Linked DNA regions of Canis lupus familiaris. The protein of the gene in region 1 interacts with the protein of each later gene in a pairwise test. Links are inferred from orthologs where the notes say so. Each region holds a gene or a part of one and is shown in the gene's direction. Other genes may lie near its edges. The genes, in order: TMEM239 and CXCL16.

The links.
Region 2: the proteins of TMEM239 (region 1) and CXCL16 interact in a two-hybrid assay, tested with the Homo sapiens proteins (2 studies listed by BioGRID). The two-hybrid records come from large-scale screens. The link is inferred for Canis lupus familiaris from reciprocal best matches to the Homo sapiens genes TMEM239 and CXCL16.

Annotation. Positions count from the first base shown.
Region 1 is NC_049245.1:18,897,785-18,901,281, reverse strand, and holds TMEM239 (transmembrane protein 239), read left to right. Parts: upstream 1-1,703; 5' UTR 1,704-1,839; exon of another isoform or gene 1,840-2,285; intron 2,286-2,422; 5' UTR 2,423-2,436; coding exon 2,437-2,892; 3' UTR 2,893-2,905; downstream 2,906-3,497. Other genes in the region: C24H20orf141 (uncharacterized protein C20orf141 homolog), read left to right, coding at 1,067-1,338, 1,432-1,666.
Region 2 is NC_049226.1:32,022,350-32,026,870, forward strand, and holds the start of CXCL16 (C-X-C motif chemokine 16), read left to right. Parts: upstream 1-1,639; 5' UTR 1,640-1,811; intron 1,812-2,257; 5' UTR 2,258-2,398; coding exon 2,399-2,453; intron 2,454-2,706; coding exon 2,707-2,845; intron 2,846-3,096; coding exon 3,097-3,179; intron 3,180-4,521. Other genes in the region: ZMYND15 (zinc finger MYND domain-containing protein 15), read right to left, coding at 36-270, 708-1,293. UniProt on the Homo sapiens protein: Acts as a scavenger receptor on macrophages, which specifically binds to OxLDL (oxidized low density lipoprotein), suggesting that it may be involved in pathophysiology such as atherogenesis. Induces a strong chemotactic response. Induces calcium mobilization.

The DNA of each region.
Region 1 (3,497 bases):
TTTGGACAGTGCCTACTAGAGACAGATATGCTGCCTAATTCTTGCTGTCTCCTCTCTTTGGGGCTGTATGACCACAGTTCCCTTCCCCCACCCCCATTAGTTTTCCTTCAAAGTATGATAAGTGGACAAGGACTCTGTTGTTAGTTATGATCCATTTCCATTCTTGCCTCTCAAGTCACTAAAGTGAGATGTGCTGGAACCTCCGTAGGTTCAGATTACCATGGAGATAGGTTTCCTTTTCAGATGATCAATCCCTTCCTTTTATGTTCATTTTCCTTACTTTCATCCTCAGAGTTACTTTAACTTCCAGATTGTGAGTTATTATGTCACCGCTCTTCATATTCACATTATATATGCCATTTCTGGAATTCCAGTATCTGGAACACTTCCCACAAACCACAGGCTTAGAAACAGCCCCCTCCTGCCCCACCCTGTAGCAGTCCCCTGGGAGTCCAGCTCCAGAAAGTCTCAGGGTACTTCCTGGCAGAGCCTATCTCTGCATTTCAGGGCTGCAGTCCTGAAAATTCCCCCACAAGGCATCATCCAGCTCTCAGGGGAGAGACAGCTGCCGACAGGAAGATTGAATAATTGTCCCTGGACACAGAGCTCTGGGAACCCGCAGGAGAAAGAGAGCGGCCCTTCCTCTCTTACCCACGTGGTGATGGGGTTAGAATGCCTTCCTGGTAACTCAGATCCTCTTGGGGAGTCCTGGGGGCAGAGAATTCACCAAGGCAAGAGGATGAGTCTTAGTTCTCAGAAATCATGACTCCCTTCTGGCTAAGCCTCACCTAAGATACCAGCTGCTTAGGAGGTCAAAACCAGCCACAGCTCCCTCTGTACCCCAGAACCCCACCTGGCAATAGGTCACAATGTCCCAGCTGCCCAGTCCCATAACAGCTGACTGAAGTAGCAGGTGAGGAGGGTGTGGTGAGTGAGTGTGTGGGGAGGCGGAGATTCCCACGCAGTTTACTCTCGAGTGTCTGTCAGGGCCCCACCCGGTCCCACATACCTACCCACCCCAACTCCCTCCCAGCACTAGTCCTTCCTGTCATCTCCACCTCCCTCTATGACCCAGCTTTGCTTGCCCAGGCCCAAAGGCCCTGCTTATCCTATCCCAGTCCCTCCCAGGGGCCTGAGTGCTGGGGAGGGGTCGAATAGTCCAGTAAGTCCATGTATGTCTCCCTGGGGCCTTAGCCCGGCCCAGCTCTGGGACAGTGTCCTAGGGCTGGGGGCACTGGGACTGACAGTTCGGGCAGTCTTTTCCACGGCTGGCCCAGTCTTGCTGCTGCTGCTGCTGCTGCTACTGGTCAGCTTCCTGACCTTCGACCTGTTCCACTGGTAAGTGTGCAGCAGCCTGGCAGGTGGCAGGAGTAAGCAGGGAAACAAATAGTCAATTTCCGGAAGCCCAGCTGTCACCCTGTCTCTCCACAGCCCCGCAGGCCCCGTCCAACCACAGCACATACTTCTCACAGGCCAGAGTCAGGGGGCCGGTGAGGGCCCAGGACTGCAGGAGGCTGTACTCCTGCCTACGGTGGCAGTCACGGGACAACTCAGCCCCCAGGAGGCTCTGCTACTGCTGCTCCTGAGCCTGGGGCTACTCCTGGGAGCCTGCAGCGTGCCCTTGGCCCTGCTTGGCCTGGCTTTCTACCTCCATCCTTGGATCTGAGTGCCCTCCAGAAATACACTGGCAGTGTTGCTTCCCCAGATCGCCTTTCCTCTGTTGTGGGTGGAGCAGGCAGGAGGGTACCCCTTTATCTCCAGTCTGAACCACAGGGGACCTTCAGCTCCACAATGTGGACAGTGGATACCCGGGTCTGAGTCTGAGGACAGCAACAGAAGGTGAGCTAAGGGACGGGGGTCCCAGGGCAGGATGTGGCAGCCATCTCCGAGTTTGTGGGTTGGGAGGTGGCCATTCTGGCCTCCTCTGTGGTTCTAGAGTATCAGTGTCCAGAAAGACTCACAGGAGAGCAGAGTAGGACTGGATATCAGTTAGTAGGGTAGGAACCAGGATCTGGAGGGGGCTTCCCACAAGAAAGCGTGACAATCTGCATCAGTGGGCTCAGCAGCACCCCCTGGCAGCCTGGAGGGTCCGTGGAAAGGGATTCAGGTGAGTCTTACATCCTGCAGTGACTCCTCTCTTGGTTGGACCCCACCCCTACCCGGGTCACAATAGGGATCTGGTGGGGGGGAAGGGGGGACAGAGGGACAGCAGGGGCTCCACTCTGGCCGCTAGGCCGTCCTAGGTGCTGCAGGAAGCAACATGACTTAGGTGGTTCTGCCCAGAGGTAAGCCCCAGGCCCTGGCTCAAAGCCTCACCCCACCCGTGCTGGTACCCTCCTGCCCCTGCCTCCTGCCCCCCACCTGCCCTGAGGTCCCAGGCATCTCGGGGCTGCTCCTGCAGCTGGCCTGGCCCTCTCCCCAGGTGTACCAGCCAGGATGCAGCAGCCCCAAGTGGAGACGGGTGCCATCGGGGCCGGCGAGGGGCCGCAGCAGGCAGTGCCCTGGTCAGCCTGGGTCATGCGGCAGGCCTGGGTGCGCTGGTGCATGTGCCACATGCCTCGGAGCTGGGCCCAGTGGTGGACCACATCGGGCTGGCGGCAGCCACTCCAGCGTGTGCTGTGGGGGCTGGAGGGGATCCTCTACCTGCTGCTGGCGCTGATGCTATGCCACGCGCTCTTCACCACCGGCTCCTACCTGCTGAGCTCCTTGTGGCCTGTCGTGACTGCAGCGTGGCGCCATCTGCTGCCAGCTGTCCTGCTGCTGGTGCTCAGCGCCCTCCCTGCCCTGCTCTTCACGGCCTCCTTCCTGCTGCTTTTCTCCACGCTGTTGAGCCTCGTGGGCCTCCTCACCTCCATGTCTCACCCAGACTACACTCAGGACTTGGACCAATAGAAGGGCAACCCCATCCCGCTGCCTGTGTCTGTTGAGCCCTGGGGAAGGGGAGGCCCCAGACCTCCCATCCCTAGCACTGCTCGGGCCATGTGTGATGTTGCTAAAGCTGGCAGGGTAGACTAGCCTGACCTCTGGGCACCTTCCCCAAGCCAATGCTACAGGTACTTGGTGTGGGGCATTGGGGGCTTTGAGAAGGGACAGGGCAGAAGGGTTAGCCAGGGGCAGAGCTCGGCCAAGCCACTGAGAGTTCCCACAAGGCTGTAGTGACACCACTAGGGCTCCCTTAGCAACTGGCAGCAGCTTTTTCTTGTAGCTGCTCAGCTGTCTCAGCTGCGGACTCAGTTGAGAATTTCTAGTTCGGTAGCCCTGACTGGCCATTCCTTTCACTAACCCCCCAACCTCCGCTCTTTCCCCAGGCTCTAGAAAGAGCCCACTGACAGAAACCTATCTGGGAGAAGGCCGTCCAGAAGTCCCATGAGACCTCAACTAACACCTCTCGCTCCTTTCTGCTCAGGCATCCCCCACTCCCTAGACTTCTTCCCTTCTGCCTTGGTGAGCATCCCTGAGTCTGGGAGATGGGCCACTACTAGGGTAGTGAGGATCCC
Region 2 (4,521 bases), on another chromosome or scaffold:
AGGTGTCCCCAACCTCAGATACCAGATTTCTGTACCGATGCAGTTGGGCGTCTCCCACAGTAAGCTGTCGGGGCTTTCGAGGGTCTCCGGAGCCCATGGGGCAGGCCATGCTGTGGCAGAGGAGGGCATAGGCGCGAGGGGCCAGGTTCTCTGTCCCTGAGCCCTTGCATGCACTCCCCTGGGTTCCATCCATTAGCAGGTCAATGCCCAAGATGGTGCCATGTTCATCCGTCACCAATAAGAGGCAGGAAAGGTGCAGGGGGGCAGCCTCTGGGGAAGGAAAGTCAGAGGTGGGGAGTGGCAAAGATGGGCAGAGTCAAAGGTATGAAAATCATGCCTACAGGAGTTAGGCGGGTCAACTAAATGAACAGAGGGGACCGGGTAGAGAGGGGATGCCTCATGGAAAGAGGACACTTGCTACACGGTGCTGCCACCTGCGCCACACAGAAGTGTTGGCCTGCTGCTGGAACTTGAAAGTTTTCCTTTGACTTCTGGAATCTTTTTTTTTTTTTTTTCTTTCATTGTATAAATGTTGGCTCAAAGTTTGAAAAACAAAAACCACTGTGAGTCAATGAAAACACCTTTTGGGCCAGCTTGGCCAGCAGGCCACCCACTGGTGACTCCTGGCCAGGCTGCATGGTAGAGGAGGTCTTCCAAAGGGGAGAATGTCTAGGCAGGGGTCAGACAGGGCAGCCCCAGGATCTTACCGCTTCTCCGCCCCTTCCTCCTGTCAGGGCCCGCTTCTTCCTCAGCCTTGTCCTCTCGGCAGCCTTCCTCGCCGCCTCTGCCTCCTGCCTCCTGCTCAGCCTCCTCGGTCTCCCCTGGAGGGTTTGCTTCCTGGGGGGACTCCCTGCTGGTGGGGCCTGGCTCCCCATCCTCCTCCGGATCAACCTTCTCCACACCTGTACCCTCCTCCTCTCTATTCTCTTCCTCTTCCTCCTCCTCCTCTGCTTCCTCCCCTTCCTCCAGGCTGACAAAGCTGACATAGGGGCTTAGGTCTCGCAGGTGCAGTGGGGGCTCGTCTCCCAGGAAGCAGGCAGCACCCAGGCCTGGTGCAGGGCCCGGCTCTGCCCCTTGCCCCAGGCTGATGCCCACACTACGGTTGGGCAATACATGGAGCACCCAAAGGGCAGGGTCCTGGGGCAGTCTTCTGATCTGAGCCTCCAGCTGGCGCCAGCGGCTCTCAAGGCTGGCCCCCACAGCCCCGCGCTCTGCAGCGAACTTTCGGAACCAGCCAAACAGGAGGGCAGCGAAATCAAGGAACTCATCTCTGTATCCAGACACAAACTCCATGTCTTCAGGGGCACGGGGTCTGGGCCCAGACTAAGCAGAGGAAGGGGTGTATGGTAAGGCAGAGGGCAATGGGGGGGTTCGGGGCTGGGTCACCAAATGGGGAGGGTGTGGGTTTGAGGTTCACTAACGTGGGGCCTCTGGATGAGTGTGAGGAGCTGAGACTACTTTTCCGGGGCTCAGGGTGGGAGTTCAGGTTGAGAACTGGGGCAGGCATGGAAGTGGGAGAGCAGGGTTTCAGATGAGTAGTCGGGAGTGAGATGGTATTTGGGGCTCAGAATCCGAGGCTCAAACCCTCAAGAGTAAGGTCTGAATTGTGGATAGATTTGGAGGGCTAATCCCACGGGGAAGGGTTTGGCGAGCGGGGATTACTTTGGATCCGTCTGCGGGATGTGCGAGGAGGGAACCGGAGCGGGGGCATCCCCTCGCCTTGGACCGGTTCGGCGGGGAGTCCCCGTGGACCCAGTCCCTCCCGGCCGCTCCGCCTCTCCGGTACCTGCAGCCGCCACCACTTTTCGAAGGTAAATACCTCGGGGCTCCGGGGGGATGGGGGTGGGTGGGCGTGACGTCAGGGCCGCGGGAGCCCGCGCCCCCCCCCCCCCGGCCGAGACCCCGCCCCCGTCGGGGGCTCACGGACTTTCCCGCGGTTCTCACCCGGCATGTGACCCAGTGCCGGCGCCCGGCGGGGAAGCGAAAGCGCCCTGGGAGGTGGTGGCGGCGGAGGGCGGGAGGAGCGGTGGCGGCGGGCGGGCCGCCTGACCTGGGGCGGCTGGGCGGGCATCCCCGAGCGGGGCCGAGCTCGTGTTGCCTTTGCGCGCTCCTTCCCGGCCGCTCCCTCGGCGCGGGGGCGCGGGGGACGGGGGCGCGGGGACGCGGGGCCCCGCCTCCGGGACTTTCCCCGCGGCGGTGGCGGTGGGGGGCAGCTGCCGCGAGGCCCGCAGTACCGACCGCGCTGTCGGTTCGGAAGGTGAGAGCTCGGGAGGAGGGCGCCTCCAGCTCGCGCCGCACCCCCCACCCTCGCACCCCGACGGCCGCGGCTGCCCGGCGTCCCGGCGGGCCCGGGAGGGAGCAGCTGGACGCCGCGCTGCGGTCCGGCCTGGCCCCCGACATGGGGGCCGGGCCCCTCGTGCTGCTTGCCGCGCTGGCGCTGCTGACTCGGCCAGGTTCGTCCAGGGCCCCAGTCGAGGAGTGGAATGGGGGACCGGGGCGCCAAGGGCCGCGGGGTAGTGTGGAGCAGGGGGCGGAGCCGGGGTCCCCCCGGGGTAGGGGACAGGCTAGGGGCACCCGGGTCCGGGCGTGTGTGTGGGAGCGCCCTGTGGGTCTGGGGGTCAGATCCGGGATCCGAGGAGGAGGCGCGGTGACGCTGGGGAGCCCCTCGAGCTGGGATCTGGCGCTGACCGCCGGTACCCTTGCCAGGCGATGGCAACGAGGGCAGCGTCACTGGCAGTTGTTACTGCGACAAAGCGATTTCTTCCGGCTCCCCTCCGACCGCGGAGCTCATGGCTCATCTCCGAAAACATCTGCGAGTCTATCAGCGCTGTAATTCCTACGTCAGGTGAGCTCACGGAGCACCGGGAGGGCGGCGCTGCTGGGGCCTCCAGGACCTCACTGGTTCACCCGGAGCTCCTGGGGGCACCTGGCCCCCTCTCAGGGTTACCTTCCCCCTAATTCTCCATGCCCTTGTTTCCCTGTCCCAACCACCTGGGAATTCCCCAGTCTGGGCAGAAAGGGCCCTGCTTGCTTTTGGCAGTGACTTCAGGTCTTTGGAATGAGGAAAGAGTTAAAATCCCAAGTCTTCCTTCTTAGGTTTCAGCTACGAATGCGGAGCGTGTGTGGCGGCAGCAAGGATCCGTGGGTTCAACAGTTGATGAGCTGCTTGGATCGTAAAGGTACTGGCTTTCCCTCTCCTGCCTGAGGTCTGTCTTCAGGGCAGGGGCCCCCTCCCAATGACACCTGGCATTCCTCTTGTAGCTGGTGCCAGCCAAAGCCCCTTAGGTCCCTGTTGGCCCCGTGTCATTCACCATCACTGTCATGATTTTGGCCAATCCATCCTGTTACCTGTGCTCTTATTTCCTTAATATTTTTCGTGAAACCAAGGCACTGCTTTTGTTTTCTGGTGTTTGACTGTGGTGATCTAAAGACATACACAAAAGTTGAAAGACCAGTGCAGTGAACATCTGTAGGCCCACCACCTAGATTCCACGCTTTTTGGCTTTTTAATGTTTATATTTTATGTAATGTGTGTAGTAGGCAGAGAACACAGCAAATGCGTGTGTTTTACAATATCAAGTTTACAGCATGCTGACTATATTCGTTTTAGTTCACGCCCATCTATGTTTCTATCCATCATCAATCCGCCTTTTTTTTTTTTTTAAAAAAGATTTTATTTATTTGAGAGAGAGAGAAGAGTGCATGAGAAGGGGAAGAGCAGAGGGAGGGGGAGAAGTAGTAGACTCACTGCTGAGCAGGGAGCCCGATGTGGGGCTGGATCCCAGAACCCTCAGATCAGGGCGCCCCACCTTATTTTCTGATGTATTTCCAAATTAGTTGCAGGCTCGACCATACTTCATCCTCACACATCTCAGACTGTGTATTGTTAAGTAGAAATCAGCACTTTATTGTTGATTTTTCTCTTTTGAGGTAAAATTCACGTACAGTGAAACGAGTTAAGTTCTTATGTGTACACAAGCCGGTTTTGGAAAAACTTAACTAGCAGCTTGTCCTAAGCAATAACATCTGTGAAGCCACAGATTTGAGGCGCCGGCTGTATTTTTCTCCTAAAATAAATACACAACCGTTAAAACACAAAATGTTCTAACACGTTGCAGCTGAAGTTGTCTTGTTGGAGCATCCCTGGTGTGCATACTGTTCCGTGGGCTACAGAAAGGCCTGCCTACAGGATTGCACTCCATCCTTCTAGCTACCGTGGCCCTCGGTACTAAAATCCTGCTTTATAGCTGAAAGCAAAGTGTCTCAGGGAGTGGGGTCAAGAGACAAGGGACAAGGTTGTGCATGAGACTGCTCGGAAGCAGAGCCAGCTCTGGACACAAGCCTATCCCAGCACTTCCCTGTCGAATTCAGCTTACTTCCTTTTCCACCCCCCACCCCTGTGTCTGCCTTCCTTTTCAGGGCCTTAAGCTGTGACCTAGACCCACTACCCTTCAACTACTTTTTCACTTTGCATCCTCAGCTCATTTCTTTCTTTCTTTCTTTTTTTTTTTTTTTGAATAT